Schizosaccharomyces pombe: one gene and its partner. The protein of the gene in region 1 interacts with the protein of each later gene in a biochemical or structural test. Each region holds a gene or a part of one and is shown in the gene's direction. Other genes may lie near its edges. The genes, in order: rho3 and apm1.

The links.
Region 2: the proteins of rho3 (region 1) and apm1 form a complex in vitro, tested with the Schizosaccharomyces pombe proteins (one study listed by BioGRID).

The regions. Positions count from the first base shown.
Region 1 is NC_003424.3:1,039,880-1,043,859, forward strand, and holds rho3 (Rho family GTPase Rho3), read left to right. Parts: upstream 1-1,569; 5' UTR 1,570-1,655; coding exon 1,656-1,719; intron 1,720-1,793; coding exon 1,794-1,866; intron 1,867-2,100; exon of another isoform or gene 2,101-2,190; coding exon 2,191-2,671; 3' UTR 2,672-3,204; downstream 3,205-3,980. Other genes in the region: karyogamy protein Tht2, read left to right, coding at 362-967; SPOM_SPAC23C4.09C (chaperonin-containing T-complex associated protein), read right to left, coding at 3,341-3,385, 3,503-3,633, 3,717-3,792, 3,841-3,910. UniProt on the Schizosaccharomyces pombe protein: Involved in controlling cell shape and septation. Regulates cell separation by modulating the function of the exocyst complex. Involved in post-Golgi vesicle transport. Involved in driving sexual development in a palmitoylation-dependent manner.
Region 2 is NC_003423.3:1,907,844-1,912,339, forward strand, and holds apm1 (AP-1 adaptor complex mu subunit Apm1), read left to right. Parts: upstream 1-2,297; 5' UTR 2,298-2,336; coding exon 2,337-2,398; exon of another isoform or gene 2,399-2,473; coding exon 2,474-2,579; exon of another isoform or gene 2,580-2,649; coding exon 2,650-3,297; intron 3,298-3,375; coding exon 3,376-3,840; 3' UTR 3,841-3,972; downstream 3,973-4,496. Other genes in the region: ribosome biogenesis protein Nop8, read left to right, coding at 289-1,725; fmo1 (flavin dependent monooxygenase), read right to left, coding at 4,293-4,496. UniProt on the Schizosaccharomyces pombe protein: Component of the adaptor complexes which link clathrin to receptors in coated vesicles. Clathrin-associated protein complexes are believed to interact with the cytoplasmic tails of membrane proteins, leading to their selection and concentration.

The DNA.
Region 1 (3,980 bases):
TAAACTGATCGTAAAAGCAAAACAATTGAACTAAGTTGTTAATTCATGCAACCCGGTAGCAATCATCATGAAAATAATCTCTGAATTGTTGTAAGAAAAACGCATGGTAGCAAACTTAAGTCGCAAGCAGAGCAACGAGTCATAACTGATAATACGAATATTCACATAAGGAAATGAACTTTATAAACACTCAATTACAAATTTGAGGGCATAAGCAATTGCACTAACACTTTTTTACATGTTGGTTTATTATGTGTTTTGCTGACTTTCCTTTTGTTTGTTACTTTTTTGTTGTTACCAGCGCACCTAAACGAGAAAACGTGTATTGATCCCTTCACATTTTAACCTCACAATACAGAAAATGGAGAATCAGGTGTCCAGTTTTCTAATTGATTCTCCAATGGAATGGAAGACTTATATGAAAAGCTTGAGTGATGATAATCCCAGCTTTGGGGACGTAACAGTTAATTTGACGAAAATTAGCGTATCTTCAAAAAATGCAAAAAGCTACGCAGAAGAAATGTATAATTATGTAACTCAAGAGATGGTATTTATCAGTGAACGTAGTAGACTATTATTGCGCGCAAAAAGAAGGTTGTACAAAAATCAATCACTTATGAAAAAAACGTCTGTGTCAACCTCGAACACAGTAAAGATGGTATTTATGTCACTAGCAAAGCAAATTGAACAAATGCTCAAATTCTGTATGATGGTTTACAGCAAATTGTGCGAGGCGTTTGAAACAACGTTAAAGGTAGCGAAGGAGTTTCAAATTTGCGATTCTTCTCAAGAATGGTTTTTCCAATTCCAATTGGGTTATCATAGAAAACAGATGGAATTACAGATGCTTTCTTTTGTAGCCGAATGGCTTGTTTTAACTCAACATTATACAGATGCTCTGAATGACTCGGCAAAAACACTTTACGACATAATGGAAAGTAGCCATAAAGCGGCACAAAAAGTTTAAAAGCATATTCAAATGTCAAACAAAATTTTCTTCTTTTAAAGGTGCTATTCAATTCATGATTCCAACAGTTGCTGTGCAAATTAAACTATTATCATGAAACAAACCACGGTAAAGTTGGTTGTACTATTGTGTGACTCCTTTTTCAAACTCATCAAAGTACGATTTTCAATTAAATTTTAAACTTTCAATTGAAAGGGTTGCCTCAAAATTGACAAGCCCTTGGTCAACTTTCACTAACTGGTGCTGTTGATTTTCTTCCTATTTAGCAATCACGTTATATATACCGTGTATTTCATTTTGAGACTGAGAGTAGACTTCCCCAATATATTTTAGTAAAACTATCCTTCGAAGGTTTTGTTCATCAATGAATTAATGCTTTACTCATCAAAATATATTATGAAACAATCCTACTTGCGAAGTTCATTCTGTATTACGTATTTCCGTATCTCTTTTAATAAACTGGTTCGCATCGCCTTAATTATTCTAAATTTGATTGTTACCTGAAATGTAGAAGCCAATCTACAGCGCACAAGGACATGTATGTCCTTCGCTAAGCAGTAAGCTGGGGTCTTGCGTAGGCTTTAGCTCATGGTACAAAATTCGTACCTAAACCAAACACCTCTAATCCTTTATTATACAGAAACCATTGAAAAACCCATAGAAAGCTTGATTGAAGCTCATTGAAAGTATGTCAAGCTGTTTCGGAAGTAAAAAGAAGCCTATTTATCGGAAAATCGTAATTCTTGGTGATGGTAAGGATCTTGGTGAAAATTTTGTTTTTTCTTTCGTGATTTTCGCAGCTAAGCATTCTAACCGTAAATTATAGGTGCTGCTGGTAAAACCAGTTTGTTAAATGTATTTACTAAGGGTTATTTCCCTCAGGTATACGAGCCTACTATGTAAGTATCATTAATAGTGCAAAGCTGTAAACGGCGGAGCGGAAATGAGGTTACCGTCTGCAATATCAAGTATAACTCAATATGAAGCATCTTTTTTTGCAAACCTTTTATCTAACGGGTTAATTTGTGGAAATTTGTTTCATTTCTGAGGAAAACGAGAATGCCCGAGTGTGCTCTCCATACAGTCACACTCGTACAATTTCTCATGACCAAACGTCAAATTGCTTTTACTATGCTTGACCTGTTAAGGGTTTTCACCACTTCTTTACATGATTATCTTCTTGTACTTAAAAACTTTTTCCGTTATCTAACACCTAAAAATAGATTTGAAAACTACATTCATGATATCTTTGTCGATGGAAACAGTATAGAACTGTCTCTATGGGATACAGCTGGTCAAGAAGAGTATGATCAACTGCGTTCGTTATCATATTCAGATACACATGTTATTATGATCTGCTTTGCCGTGGATTCACGAGACTCATTAGAAAATGTAATCACAAAATGGCTTCCGGAAGTCTCTAGTAATTGCCCTGGTGTTAAATTGGTTCTTGTTGCTCTAAAATGTGATTTACGTGGAGCTGATGAGGAGCAAGTTGATCACAGTAAAATTATTGATTACGAGGAAGGACTGGCAGCGGCAAAAAAAATCAACGCTGTACGATATTTAGAATGCAGCGCTAAATTAAATCGTGGCGTAAATGAAGCTTTCACGGAAGCTGCACGCGTTGCCCTTGCCGCGCAACCAAGAGGTACAAAGGATGGTGCTGATGAATCCCATGGTACCGGATGTATCATTGCTTGAAAGCACTTTCTTTTGAAAGCGCCTAAAAGTCTTATTTCTAATGTTCGAAGTTTATTATTGTATATGACGTTAGTGTGGGTGTTGCGGTGGCCTTTGAATAGCGTTAACCTTTTTTCAATGGTTTGTACTTTTGACTTTTATCCCCTTTGCTGTTCTCAAGGTTTTAAATTTGACACTTGGGGATTCTGTCCGTTTCCAATGAGTTTATCTCCTTATTTCAGGTGTATTGTCTATCTTTCTTACCTTCCTACTTGAAACAGCAGGTATTTGTACAATCGTGAAAAAGAGTGTTTGCAGTGAACCTTACTTTCCTTCTTTTTTGAAACTTGTACACTTTGAGTTGTTCAATTCTCCTTCTGTTCGTGTAATCGTTGAGTTGCTAATCTAATCAATTAATCTACCCCTTTTCTTTTACGATAAGCATACTGTTGAGCAATAAGGATTAGTCTTTCGGTTGTAAGACATGGGTCTGAGTCAAATCCTACCGTTTTAGAAAGCACCTTAAATATTTATGTAATATGAAGTGTTACCCCTAAATATCGTAATTGAAGTTAAAAATTGTAAAAATTTAGACTACCCAATATGTTGTATTCGTGCATCCGTGCAACCCTAATTCAATTTGATCCATTTGAAAGTAAAACAAAATTTATTATGTCTTTATCCTTTAAATTAAAGATCCCAGTCATCCTCATCGTCTTGAACACGTCGATTGATCTAATTAAACAGTTAAACTCTGGACCATGTAATATAAACAGATGTTTTTTTTTGATATTTCTCTCCTCAGATGAATTTGAAATAAAAAAGGAGAGAAGGAATTAGTAAGGCACTTACCACAATTTTTGTTTCATTACGTTTGGAGACCTCACCAGAAATTTTTTCTAACAATTCGATAAGTTCGGGCTCTGAGATTTTATGAGATATCTGGCCCGTTTTGGCCATACGTAACAGGAGCTCTTCAACAGCTACACAAATTAGACACATGTTTACATTATTCGTAAACAGATATTAAATTATTATCCGCCGCAGAAAATGAAATCACACTTACCTTCAGCACGATCTTTTCGTACCAACGCTATACGACGAAGTCTGTCTCTTGCTGGGTGTTCCAAAATTTGAGAAAGCTTATGAAATTGTTAGTCGGATATGGACCATACACATCATAAACATACTAGATTTTGTCGCATTTCATCTTGTACCTCCTGTTGTTGCTGATTGCTTGATGGACCTGAAGCAATATTACTAGATTTGTTAATTCTTGTAAAAAAAATGGAGTATATAAATAAATTAGTTTCTAAATTCACTATCGGAT
Region 2 (4,496 bases), on another chromosome or scaffold:
TATTCAACGAGAACCTGCCTTCTACAGCAGGTTAATTTTTGATTTATAAGAAGGAGAAAAAGAAGTTACAGGAGTGTTTATTTCCGAAAGTCATAGAGATTTAAACCAGTATATATGCTTTCCTTGTAAAAAATTTCATTGCTCACACAGCTCTCGATTCCTCATCTAAATAGCTATCTGGTAGCGATTGGTAGACTATTTTTTCGGGTTTATTTCCCATTATATTTCAGACACTCTTTTTGACCTGCGAAACTTTTTGTCCTCATTTTGTATCAATTGACTTCAATAATGGAGTTAGAAAAACGGATTTATGTTGGTGGCCTTTCATCCTCTATTGAATCTTCAGATTTGGAATCCAGATTTTCTCGTTTTGGAAGTGTTTCAAATCTTGAAATTATAAACAAATCTACTCCAGTAGGAACTATACAACGATTTGCATACTTGAATTTTCGAACAGATGAAGATAAATGGCAGAAATGCAAGTCTTACTTATCAAATGCGACGTTTAAAGGAAGTAAACTTCGTATAGAGGAAGCTCGCCCTTATTATTTAGTAAAATTGCAGCAGGAAAAAAAAATTGCTGATCTTCAAAGTACTAATAATGATGAGAAAAATGAAGATCACTCCAGCAAAGTTGATCTGGAAGACCCAGTCTTTCATGGAGAAATAATTGTTCCCGGAAAACATAGTAAAAATATGCAGGTGGTCACGGATTCTGATGTTCGGAAGGATCCTCCTAGAAAAGGTTGGAAAAAAGGCCCCTATGGAAGGGCCATTGTCGTGCTTCGAATGTATAATAAAAATACTAAGAAAACGAGGTTTTTTTATCCGCTGGGTAAAAACTGCTTACAAAAACTATGGGGCCGAGTGGAAACGAATATGGACAATACTACAGCTTTTTATGATTCTGATCATGATGAGTATGTATCATATGGGGGTAAGAGAGCTTCTCGTGACAAAATACGTATGCAAGCAAAATTGGGTATCAAAGCTTCTACTCAGAAGGATGATAACGATTTTGAACTTCTTAATAACACAACTGGGGAGATTGAAGTCACAAAAGAATTAAACGAAGAGCAATTGGATGCTTTGCGAAAAAAAGATAAGGATACGGCTGCATCTGTGTTAGCTGAACTGTTTGGTTCTGAAAATACAGAAGAAATTGATACCGTATCTAAAACTTCAGGTGTTTTGGAACTGGACAATGATTCGACTAATAATTTCCAAAAAGAAGGTTTGGATGAACAAGATAATTTACAAAAGGAAGAGTCCGTACACATAGATGTTCCTGCTGAATTTGAAGCATTTGATGAGCGTACTGCTGTTGTTAACGTTGACAATTTAAAAGAAATGTTTTCTTCCAATGCGCAGGATACGTCTAAGTTTTCTCTTTTTGGCAATGAAAATGGAGTTGGTGAGGAAAGTGAAATGGAAAGTGAGATTGATGACCGTAATTACGAAACTATGGAAGAAGAGGCAGATGGGGAAACTCCGCTAGCTATAGTTAAAGCCTCATCGGGTACCAAGGGTTGGCCAAAAATGTTTACTCTACCCAATCCTTCTTCCCTATTCCAACCAGGTAATGAAGATTATACGAGCAGAGAAGCTCTTGAATCCTGGTGGTCGGAAAATCGTCTATTCTTAACTCGTGATTACAAACGAAAAAGAAAAGATGCCGTAAAAAGACAGCGAAGGGCTCATGAAAAGCGTATTCGACTTGTTTAAAGACGCGTATAGGTTATGTATTTATTGGGAATTTATTTGGGTATTTTAAGGTTACGAGGTATATATTGATTTTTTACACACTTTTGGAATCTTTACGTTGTTATTTCTCTATCCTTTTTATTTTAGAAAAAAATCTGTGTCTTTTTAAAAAGCCACGATGTTCACTTTGGTTTTATCATTGGTGAAAGTTAACAACTTTTTTCGTTGCACTTTCTTGGGATTTGTGGCTTTTAATATTTACAATGTTTGAGATCAAATTTTATTAAAATATTTGTTATTCTTATTGTTATAAGCCAAAGTTGTCAAATAAAACATACCGAAATTTTCTTACATTGTCAGAAAAATTATTTTCCTTTTCGGCATTTACAAAACCATATAATGTAAATTAGTTATAATTATCTGAATAGATTATCTTATAAAAGAAGACTGAATGTGTGCATAGAGTAGTAATTACTCAATATAAGAAGAATTTCGTACTATATGTAAGAAACAGAAATAGTGAATTACGCTGTATTACACTAGCGGTGCTTAGGCACGGTGATGAGGCAGCCAACAGTCAATGCTAGTTATCCAGAGCGAAACTAGCTGCCTTATTCGCGGCTTCTGTAAAAATGGCTTCTGCTATATTCGTTCTGAATTTAAAGGGAAAGGTAATCATTTCCCGTGATTACCGGTAGGCAATTTTGAAATCTGAATGAAAATCAGATTGTCGCAATTCGTCGACAGGTTACTAACAGAAAACAATTAGAGCTGATATCCCCATGTCAGTAGTTGAAAAGTTTTTACCTTTAAAATCAGAAGTTGAAGAAGAACAAGGATTCTCCACCCCTTGTCTCACTCACGAAGGCATTAACGTATGTAAAAGTTAGATATTATGAAAGCCAACAATTCTTATTTTTTTATGGTCGTACTAACACTTTTCAGTACATTTACATTCACCATAATGATGTCTACCTCCTTGCTTTATCCAAAATGAATTCCGATGCAATGGAGATGCTAGTATTTTTGCGTAAAATGGCGGACGTTTTTATAGATTACTTTAAAGAATTGCAGGAAGAGTCGATTCGAGATAACTTTGTTCTTGTTTATGAATTGTTAGACGAGATCATGGATTTCGGTTTTCCACAAACAACTGAAACAAAAATCTTGCAAGAATACATCACTCAAACCTCAAATACGGTAAAAAAGCATGCTCCACCCCCCATTGCTATGACAAATGCTATCTCCTGGCGTTCTGAAGGAATTCACTATCGTAAGAATGAAGTATTTTTGGACGTTATTGAATCAGTTAATTTAATTGCTGCTGCCGATGGTACGGTCATTCAAAGTGAAATCTTAGGAAAAGTTCGTCTCAAATGCTACTTATCAGGAATGCCTGAACTTCGTCTTGGGCTCAATGACAAGGTCCTTTTCGAAGCGGCTGGTCGTACCATTAAAGGAAACACTGTGGAAATGGAAGATGTGAAATTTCACCAATGTGTTCGTCTTGCTCGATTTGAAAACGATCGTACAATTTCGTTCATTCCTCCTGATGGCGAATTTGATTTAATGTCCTATCGCATGAGTTCAAATGTAAGTTATTAGTTTGTGCCTGTTCTTTTTATTCCCTCTCTCCTTTATCAACGTTTTCTAATATTAATTTCTCGTTAGGTACGGCCATTAATTTGGGTTGAATGTGAATCCATCGTGCATTCAGGTTCGAGAATTGAGTTTATGGTAAAAGCTAAGGCTCAATTCAAAAAGCGTTGTATTGCAAATAATGTCCAAATCATCATTCCCGTTCCGGAAGATGCTGACAGTCCTCGGTTTCAAACTAGCAATGGTCATGTGCAATATGCACCTGAACAAGCTGCCATGGTTTGGAACATTAAGAAATTTGCAGGTGGTAAAGAATTTTTCATGCGTGCTGAAATGGGTTTACCAAGTGTTAAAAATGAAGATATTCAAGTTCAGAAAAAACGTCCTGTTCAACTAAAATTTGCTATTCCCTATTTCACTACCTCAGGGATCCAAGTTCGTTATTTAAAAATCACCGAACCAAAACTTAATTATCATGCTATGCCTTGGGTTCGATATGTTACACAAAATGGTACTGAATATTCCATCCGTCAGTAAATGTTTCTAATGATGGTTCTCCGTTCCGTTCTTTTTTCTACCTTTAGATACCTTTCCCTTCATCTATATATTTGTTTTCTTAGTGTACTGATCCCATTTATTACGAAATGAAATCTTGTTTGCAGACGCGCTAATCCTTTTTCTTACTCAGCTGACATAAAAGGAGCATTTGCTTGAAACATAAATGTCTAAGTCTATTTATTGTATAAAGGATAAGTTCAATGTTTTTATTAAAACAGAAATAAAGATTTTCTAACATACAATTCCATTTACTCAGTAGTGAATCTCCGTGTATTAAAAATACATAAAAGACAGATTGTTCCAAACGGTTTTCTAAACATAATAAATTAAAAACCAAAAGCGAGAGAATGAGAGGGAGACCGGATAGTAAGAAAAAGATTGAAGGGAAAAGTTTAAAGGTCTAAGGGTGTAATGAGTTTTCAAGTACGTATTTACTTTGGAGGTTCAATTCCGAAAAACTTAGCACGGATGGACCACATGTTTTCACGGATGCTTCGTTCCTTCTCGCCCCAATACGGTGACGGAAACTCTTCTTCAAGAACAGGTGTAGCCTGTTTACACCAGTCGTGTAGCTTGTTAATGTAGGTAGCGTCTTTTGGATAATCCAAAGAGTGATACATATTATTTGCTCCACT